Coturnix japonica: one gene and its partner. The protein of the gene in region 2 interacts with the protein of the main gene of each other region in a pairwise test. Links are inferred from orthologs where the notes say so. Each region holds a gene or a part of one and is shown on either strand. Other genes may lie near its edges.

Region 1 (5,262 bases), on a different chromosome or scaffold from region 2:
TAGTTTATGTTTCCCTTTCAGCTAAATTTTGCTATTTTTATTCCAGATGAGTAGCGCTACTGTGTGTTCACAACCCCATTACTTTGTTGCTTTAATTGCTGAGCTAAATTTACATTTGGCCAATATCACACATTTTTTTGAATCACAGAAGAAAATGGCAAGGTCTTAGCAACAGACATAGTATAAATTGTACAGCCAATGTCCTTGCAAATACAGTCTCTGTGTTTGGAGGCTGCTGTTTCTCAGCTACATTAAATGTGTTGGAAATAACATCTAGAGAGACCTATCTTCACTTTAGCATTTATTAATTTAATAACCAATGTGCAGTATTCATATTTATATGCAAATACATGTGACATTAGTCCAACATGCAGATAACAGACACTGCTGCATTCGTGTATCTTAAGCCATTCCAGTCCACTGCTGTCACACTATTTGTTGATCTACTGTGTTTTCCTTTTGGGGAAGACGGTGAAGAACTTCAACAGTTGATTCTGCTCTGCATTAAACTGGTCAGTTTTTGGCCATCTCTCTCAGAATTTGTTGCATTGGAGAAAACCTCTCTTTGCAGCCTCCTGTTTTAACAAATGGCAACACAGTTGTTCTGTTCTTCAGGGATTCTTCTTGCTTTTCTGTTCTGCCTTAAGCTCCTTTGCATTACATCTGGAACCCAGTGCTGTTAACATTTCAACTGTTGTCAGGTTGGCTCCTTTCATTATCAATCGCTCTCCATCAGCTGGAAAGAAAACATTTATAAGTTCTTAAAATTTAAGTCACAGTTACTTTTGTGTGCAGTTCTGGCTTGCATTTACAAATCCAAATACCCTGCTCATCTTGTCTGATTAGAAAGGAGTCCACTTAACAAGAAATCCTATTATGGAACAAACAAATACATGAAACTGTAACAAATACATGAAACTGTAACTATTGTAATCTTCATTTCTGTACTGTCTGATCAAAAAATAAGAAATGTTTCTCAAGATATATGTATGGTAAAAGCATATTGTTGATAAGAATGGCTCACACTATGCCACCAAAGTCAGTGAACAGAAGGCACAAAAGGCACTGGTAGGCATAATTTCCACACATGGCCCAGCATTTTAGCAGCATGTTGTATATGGCCCATTTACTTCACTTCTTTAGCCAAAACAGTGAAACGGTTTATACAATCTGGTGGTTATAAAATTAAAAAGTAGACAACACTTGGATTTGTAAATTCCTGGGGAGGAAAAAAAAAAAAAGGCACTTTAAAACAGAGAGGGAGCATCAGAAATTAAGGATAGTACCTAAGTTATTTTTTTATCTTTGCAAGACTTGCAAATATAAAAGATATAGTCAAACCCATTTAATGCAGTACCATTCGTGGCATCCATGTTCCAGTCACATTTGCCAATTGGAAGGGCTGCAGACTCTTCCGTTGGAAAATAATCAGCTCTTAGAAAGTGGAGTTCAGAGCTGTAGCTCTTGGCATTAGTGAAATAAATTGTTTTGCTTTACACTGTGAAAAACACTAAGCTTTACTGCGTAAGTCTTAATACATCACAGATAGAGTCAAGGATTGGAAAAAAAGCGGCTTGAGGGAGGGAGAAACCTCTGTCAGCGCTGAAGTAATTTGGCTTTGCTTGGCAAAACAAGTACATTCAGCACTCTCAACACTTCTACTGATTCACTAAATATCAGAAAGCTTAAAGAAAAGTGGGTAACAGGAAAAAATATAATGAAAACTTTAATAGGCTACATGCCATACTGGGCCATTACAGCACAGCAGGAAAGAAGATACAGCCCGAGAAAAAGACAAAATCAGATTACAGCCATCTGTTCATAGCCTTGAATCTGGGCTGCTTCCAGAACTGATGACATTTCCACTATCAATTCCCTGTCTACTCGCTGGATCTCCAAAGGAAACCAAGTAATTTGCTGTACATCAGTTGACCTCACTCTGTATGTCCGTCTGCACATGTATGGTCTTATATGAGCAGTTCCTTCCAGCTACGCAGCAAGTTACTCACTTGCATAAAGAACTCCAAGTGTTAAACTTGTCTATTCTTAAGACAGATGTCTCCACCACAGAAAACAAGACAACACAGAACAAAAATTCAGTATGTGTGTATACAGATGTGTAAAACATCAAAGCAAAGCTACACTTGTTTTCCTGGAACTGACTTTGACTGCAAGGTTATACAAGTGTCCCACTGCTAAAGTGGACTCAACTCTATATGAGTTAGGTTTGGTAAAGACTTGTACATGTACATGTTAGTGTTAGTGACTTCCTTTTTCCTTCCCAGCTTGGCAACATCCAGGTGTAGAAGAGAATTAAAAAAAGAATAAATTAATCACAGCAAAAATGATCATAGAGGAGACACTGTGAAACCACAAACGTGGAAGGACTTTTTGTGAGGATTAAAAATGAACTCTTACCAAACATAACATCTACAAGTGGTTCAGATCCATCATGTCTCACATCTGCAGACACTTCACAGTTCCTGTTAGTAGCTTGGATTCTTTTATGGTTTATACATTGAAGAAATTTCCTGAAAATGTATTTTAAAACACACTGAGTGCTCCACAGATAAAAATTACAGTTAATACATGAGAGATGCATCCAAAACGTATAGTTTTAGTATATAGTATAGTTTTTGAATAGTTTGACATTGCTGGGTATAAACAGAATTGGATTTATATTCAATAATTTCAGACACTCACTTCTTACCAGGCAGCAATCCAATTACTGTCTGGATCTACAGAGCTACACAACACAAACACATCCTCCCCAGTATAGACAAGACAGTGATCTCCTGGGACAGTCCAGTGGAGAGCATGAAGGTGATTAAAGGGCCTGGAGTACCTCGGGTCGGGTCGGAAGGGACCTTAAAGGTCGTGTGGATCCACCCCCCTCATATCGGCGGTAGCACCGAGTCCCGCGCAGCCCCAGGGCCGGGACACGCCGCTGCCCCTCACCTGGTGCTCTCCACGTTGGAATCGAAGGGGCAGAAGCGGACTACGATACTCTTCACGGGCCGCAGCACCACATGGATCCGGGACGCCATCTTCTTCCCGTCGCAGTACTACGAGTCCCGGCAGCCCCGCACAGAGGCGGGTCAGCGATGGCGGCCATGTTCCCGGAGCCGCCTGGGAAATGGAGTCTGCAGTAACAGCCATGTTGTCAGCTGCCAAACAGCGTTTGGTTTTACGTTTTCCAGATAGCAGCTGGCTGTCCTCATCCCTAACGTGAGGAGATGGCTTGCTGAGCAAGTCTGCATATGGCTGTTTTCATGTTAATTCTGTCCCTGTCTGATTTGGATGTGGTTCAGAAGTACTCTAGTTTATTCAGTATGAATAATGAAGGCAGGCTGAGGGAGCTGGGCTTGTTCAGCCTGGAGAAGAGAAGGCTGCGAGGAGAGCTCAGTACACCCTTCCAGTACCTAAAGGGATCCTAAAAACCGAAGGGAAGTTAACTCTTTACAAGGGTAGATAACAGTAAAACAAGGGGAAAAGGTTTTAAGTTGAAGGAGGAAGGATCTAAGTTGAATATCAGGGGAAGTTCTTTACTATGAGAGTGGTGAGGTGCTGGCACAGGCTGCCCAGAGAGGCTGTGGATGCCCCATCCCTGGAGGTGTTCAAGTCCAGGTTGGATGGGGCCCTGGTCTAGTATTAAATGTGGAGGTTGGTGGACCTGCCTGTGGCAGAGGGGTTGGAGCTTCATGATCCTTGGGGGCCCTTCCAACCCAAGCCATTCTACAACTCACTGATGACTGAAATAAATGAGGATATGAGTGAAGGTAAGTATAAGGGGAAATGAGGATTTGAGTGGAATTGAGAGGAATGAGGATTTTAGCAGGACACGGGGAAATGGTTTTAAGTTAAAAGAGGGAAGATTTAGGTTGGATGTTAGGGGGAAGTTCTTCACTAGGAGAGTGGTTAGGCCCTGGAACAGGCTGCCCAGGGAGGTTGTGGATGCCCCGTCCTTGGAGGTGTTCAAGACCAGGTTGGACGGGGCCCTGGGCAACCTGATCTAGTAAAGGTGTATGTTTGGTGGCCCTGCCAGGCAGGGGGGTTGGAACTACATGATCCTTGAGGTCCCTTCCAACCCAGGTCATTCTGTGATTCTGTGTGATTTTGAGTGAGGTTAGTTATAAGGGGTAGCCAGTATGACCAAGGATCATTTAGAGGCAGCATTTTTCAGTGCATCAATCCGAACAGAGGCTTGCTGCAAAAGGCGACGATACTGGAAGGGAACGCATTTGATAAGATGGGCTGGGTTCAGCAGTTGCATGCCCAACCCTTGAACAAAGGTTTCGATCTTGGTGTGGCTTCTGCAAGCAATGTATTTTTCCGCTAGATGGCAGAAACCTCCTTGATAAATGATTACAACGGTCTGGTACTTTGTTCAGCTCAGCACTATGGAGAGCTTAGTGAGGATTAGGGATAGGATGGAAGGAACACAGTAATAATGGCATTTGAGCACGATGAGAATTTGTATTTAGTATGTTTCCAATGTTCATTAAACATCTGGCATCCTTTGTAAAGGGTAACCTATTCATAGAGCTTATCTTTGTTTTTTGATCGTCCTCTGCTATATTTTTCTAAATTACACAGTTACTGAGAAAAATCATTCTCTTTTCTCTATTTATTCAATAGAAATTAAATAGCAAAAGTAATCTTAGAAGTGTTGATACAGTTTTAATGTTTTTATTCTCCCTCCCAAAATACATTGCACTTTCCATTATGAAAAAACAATGCACTTCTGTGAGATGTCTTTTGAACAAATCCTCTGTAACATATAAGTGGCTGATGTAAATAGAATCAGATGGAGGACCAGGTAAATTAAATAGTTTATACTTAGGGGCTATGGATCCTTCCTTACATGCTGATGAGCATGATTTCTCCATATAGTCTAGAAGCAGTAATTTTAGCTTATGGTAATTCTACTGAAATATCTACATTGGATAGATAGCCTGCAAGGTGACACAGCTATTAAAAAGAACACAATTTCTTCATCTGCCTTTAAACCCAGGTGGTACTAACCACAATATGTCAGACTACCCTCAATTTACAGCAGTGTAATTCAAGCTGACCTCCACAGAAAAACATTTTTATGCCTTTTCAGAAAAACTGATTATTTATTCCTGAAAGACCTCGGATTAGTACATCCAACTCAAGCAAGTAATCTGGGAATGCTCAAATGCCCATATGTTCTCCAGGGATGTGCTTTGGAAACTGATTGATTCATGATTCCTGTACCCATTGACATTCCCAAAGCAC
Region 2 (4,608 bases):
GATGGCCATCTCTGAGGACTGATGGCCCTTAAGTGGTCTTTCTCTCGTGTTGGCTCATCTCAAGGAAGATTGACATCTCTGAGGAAATCACAGGACTCTGACCCGAGCCACATAGTTATGTTTTGTATTTGTTTAAGCAAATGAAAACTAGAAAACACGAATTCAACATCAGTCCTTTTAGTTCAGCTTAGAAACATTATTAAAGCATGAAGCAAATTAGGTGAATTATTTACTCAGTGGTGGTACTTCTGTCACCAGCAGATCAGTGCTGCTCTTTAGAGAGACTGACACATACTCACAAGCCTGCCAACAATATTACACTACTACTATTGTTGAAGCCTTAACACTACTGTGACGGAAAGTAATTTTTTATTAGATCTTTTTCCTCACAGGATTAGCAACTTCATCTGTTTCACACAAGTTTCTAAAAAATTTGCTCCCAAGCTGCATGCACGATGCAAAGCTAAGCAATAAAGTCATAGACAAGTTCAAAGAAGTTAAATAAAAATTAATTGTTCGAACTTGAGACTCAATACTTATCCAACAAAGCATCAGAGATCATAAAGAATGATGAACTGTAACACTGAAACATCCCAAGCCACAAGCTTGGGATGATTTTTGTCAACAGACATAGGTATCATTAGCATCTGATTTTGAAATAACATATGGAAAGGTAAGTAACTGCACACAATTATTTGTGTAGGAAGAAAAAGAGTGGGAAACCTGTCTAAATAGCAATTTATCAGAGCAATGCAAATATGCACCAAAAAGATGTATCAAATTTGTACATAGGAGAAAAAAAAATTTCAGGATTATCACAGCTCATAAAAATTATGGAAGAATGGGGGAAAAAAAAGTACAACGTAGGCTAAAAATACTCACCTGAGCTCTTTTTTCTCTAAGTTCTTGCTGCTGTAACCTCCTTTTTTCACGTTTCTCTTGCAATTTTTCAACCTCTTTTACACAATTAGATTTTCTACGTGCTTGGAGAAAATGATATAATTTAAAATATTTTCAGTGTGTTGCAAGAGTTTAGTAATTGCATTTCAATTACATCAATTAATCAGTACATGCTTATTTACATCTACTACCTTTTCAATTAAATCAGTGTTAGTACAAGATAATTGCAGCAATTCAGTGCCTAAAATTTACCGAATAAATGAATGGAAATGGGATAGTAATTGAAAAAAAAAAAAAAATAAGGAAAGTGATCCTTAGAAAACATTTGGACAGGTACATGTGATCTCTTGGTTTGAATGAAAAAAGTGCTGAAACAAATGTAAAAAAAAAAATTAAAACAAAAAACCCCACATGTTCATGATGCAAAGACAAAAGATAACAGAAGATAAAATAAATTCCAACTGCGGCAAAATTGAACAATAGTTTAGCCACTGTACTCTGAAAAAGCTTCATAAGGAAGGCTACAGACTTATGTCCTTTATGAACAGCAACATAATCCAAGAGAATCTACATGTAATGTCCAGGATGAAAGAATCCTTGAGATACGGTTTACATACAAGGGGGTCCAAATTCCTTTTTTGCAGCTTGAACTGGAGATATATCTGAAACAGTACCATTCTGTTGTGAGGAAGATGACTGTTCAGGAAGCTGAGTGGGCCGCGCACGTGCAGAACCAGCCACTGCAAAAGAAAAGAACAAAGCTGATCCATTAAATAAAAATATATCAATCCAATTTTGAAATATTTTATTACAATAAAACAAGACCTCTTTTGAGGTACAGTTTACTGAGAATTGGAGGGAAGTGAGATATACATATACATGGAAAGTTCGTTATTAAAGGCAGTCAGAATGCAGATTTTTTTATTTTTTAATATCCTAATACATACAGAATCATAGAATCATTAAGATGGAAAAAATCCTTCCAGATCACCTAGTCCAACTATTCACCAATATTACCCCCTAACCCATGTCCCTCAGTTCCATATCTATGCACTTATTTAATTCTTCTAGGGAAGGTGATGTGTAATTATTTTGCCACATTTCTATAATAATCAAAGAGATGTAAAGCTGACCATTTGATTCACCTTTATCTTTCAATCATTTTTTCTCCCCTCTGCTTGCACCCATGCTTTTCTGAGTTTCTACAACACACCAACACAACAAATTATGAAGTACCTATGCTGCTTGTGCAAATTATTACATACTCTATTACAGAACCAGCGCAACGTACATAAAATGAAGAATATATGTGGAGATACGTGGTCCTTTCATGATGCAATTTTATTTATATTGCAAGAAAATGGGCCCATAGTTTCACATTCTTAAGAAATTTAAAAATAGTCTCACCTCACTGAACCTACAGTATCTGAAGGAGTAAAGGGATAGAAGTGAAAGGCACCCAAGTGCAGCTCCATTTACTTGTGGAAGAAATAAACTTTTTTGAGACCTAGTTGAAAGGGGTACGTCTACCTAAATTTCTGCATTGATTCCATATGTGATAAGAATGCTCCTTTCTAAAGACACAGTGTTATCTCTTCCCAGTGAATGTAGTGTGAGTAGTGAGCTTGCAAGCCTCTCCAGTAGAGTTGAATATTTTGTTTGTTGAAATGGTGCTTCAAGTGCTTCTGCTTCATCTCGGCAGTTTCTCGTACATGCTAGTAATGAGCTCTCCCAGAAGAGCATGAAATTGAAGGTAACAGTTTTAATTAATAGCTTAGAGATGACATTCCAAAAGCCAACATATTATAAAATACAGAGAAAACTGTGAAAACAGATTCATAAGGAACAAACAAAAACTCCCAGATCACTTCCAAATATGATAGATCTACTTTACACCATGAATTTATTCCACCAAAAACACAGTATGCCAAGAGAAGTTTAATTACAAAACCAAAGAACTAATCCTTTGGTACACTGCAAATAGTAAGACGCAGAGTACCTACTGAAATACAAGTTGCAGAGTTATGTACCATGTCTTCTGTTTTGTCATATAATGAATTAGAAACACAGAACTAAAACAAAGAATTTTAGAAAAGCTCCAAGTTAAAATATTTCCACATTCTTTGTTTCCTTGAAATGGAAAGATACGATATTTACCTCTATTATCCCTGGCAGGGACATCATTCTTAGCAGGTACCAGAGTCCGTCGAACCTATAAAGACAGAAATCTCTGACATTTGATTACCTCATAATTTAAAACATAAACTAAAGCTTCACACCTAGGCTTCCAGCATAACATCAGCAATACAGCACAGAGAGGTGATTATTGTCTAATCCATCTCTGAAGAGCCTACAATTGAGACTGCTTGAACTATACAAACTGTTCCAAAACAATCTCCTTTTGTATATTTTCTCCTTGAGATGTATCTAGCTATAAGTATTAGTTCCTAACACTCTCACTGCCAAATGGGTTCTCAGAAAACCTCTTTCAGCACAGGAAAAAACTGAACATATTTAACAAGTAGATCCACAGACAGAAGTCAAATGTAAAAATTCAAACATAACAACAAGTTAATGAGTTCTGTAATACAGTATGAACAGATCTTACCAACCTTAACAATTTTGTTTACTTTGGCTGATGGAGTAGGTAGTGGCTGTATCTCTTGGTTGGGTTCAATATCTTCATCGGGTGCAAGATCTGGATTAAGTGAAAATATGCTCTCCAGATCAATCTATGTAAAATAAATTTTAAAAAAAAAATTGTGAGTTCCTATTTTTTTGTTTTGTATGTTTCCACCAAACTGGTGAGGTGTATTTATTTCTAAGATGCTTCTTCAAATCTCACTCTAAACAGGCTAAGCAGGTTGAAAACTTCCAGAAAGGAACAACAAAATATAACTGAGACACAGAAAGACATATTTTCTTAAAGCATGAAGAAGTCTGAAAAATTACTGCCAAAAATAAGTTACGTAAATAAACAACATAGAAGTTCAGTTCCTCCATAAAGCAAGCAAATGCAATTCTCCCACTTCTCTACTTCTCTAATTTTCTACTTCTCCCACTATTTTCCTGTCTGAGCTGCAAGTCATTCTCCTTCTCAAAAATATCTAATTTTTCTACTTGCAAAAAGGGGTTAACAATGTCAGCCTTTGTAGCTGGGTTCAAAATCTATAAATAGCACAACTTGGAAGCTATGACACTGAGATCAGGAAGTGAAATTTAATACAACAGTAGACAATGTTTGCCCAAAAGCTCCCATTCAAAACAGTCCATAGCCAAAGCATGATTGAATATATGAAGTTTTGTATTTTATCTTCCTTTCCACTGCAAATTCCAAAGCAACATTCATGGAGACTACACATTTTTTAAAAACAGCAAAGCTCTAAAATAATTAAGTTTACCTCTTTGCCCTTAGTATCTCCATTTTCAATCCACTCAACAGTTACACTTTCGTTATCTTCATTCAGAGATGTTACCATAGCTTGATGAATTCGGCCTAGAAAAGAAAGACATGATCACTTACGATCACGTGAAAAAAAAACAAAACTAAATTTATTTGAATCCCTGCATACTGAGAGGCAGGAAGAAGAGGGTTAAAACAATAGGGGGAAAAAGTTAAAAAGATTGCTGGTCACACATTGAAAGTTGGCTTAGATACAATCTACTAGCAGAATGGGACAATGAAAAAATTCTAGGAGCAGAAAACAA

What was found.
Region 1: the proteins of KIF2A (region 2) and MRPL53 interact in binary tests that used the Homo sapiens proteins (3 or more experiments, as listed by UniProt). The two-hybrid records come from large-scale screens. The link is inferred for Coturnix japonica from reciprocal best matches to the Homo sapiens genes KIF2A and MRPL53.

What each region holds. Positions count from the first base shown.
Region 1 is NC_029517.1:109,900,612-109,905,873, reverse strand, and holds the start of MRPL53 (39S ribosomal protein L53, mitochondrial), read right to left. Parts: upstream 3,092-5,262; 5' UTR 3,048-3,091; coding exon 2,959-3,047; intron 2,532-2,958; coding exon 2,419-2,531; intron 737-2,418; coding exon 612-736; 3' UTR 1-611.
Region 2 is NC_029547.1:20,727,455-20,732,062, reverse strand, and holds part of KIF2A (kinesin-like protein KIF2A), read right to left. Parts: intron 4,397-4,608; coding exon 4,302-4,396; intron 3,633-4,301; coding exon 3,513-3,632; intron 3,113-3,512; coding exon 3,058-3,112; intron 1,641-3,057; coding exon 1,518-1,640; intron 984-1,517; coding exon 883-983; intron 1-882. UniProt on the Homo sapiens protein: Plus end-directed microtubule-dependent motor required for normal brain development. May regulate microtubule dynamics during axonal growth. Required for normal progression through mitosis. Required for normal congress of chromosomes at the metaphase plate.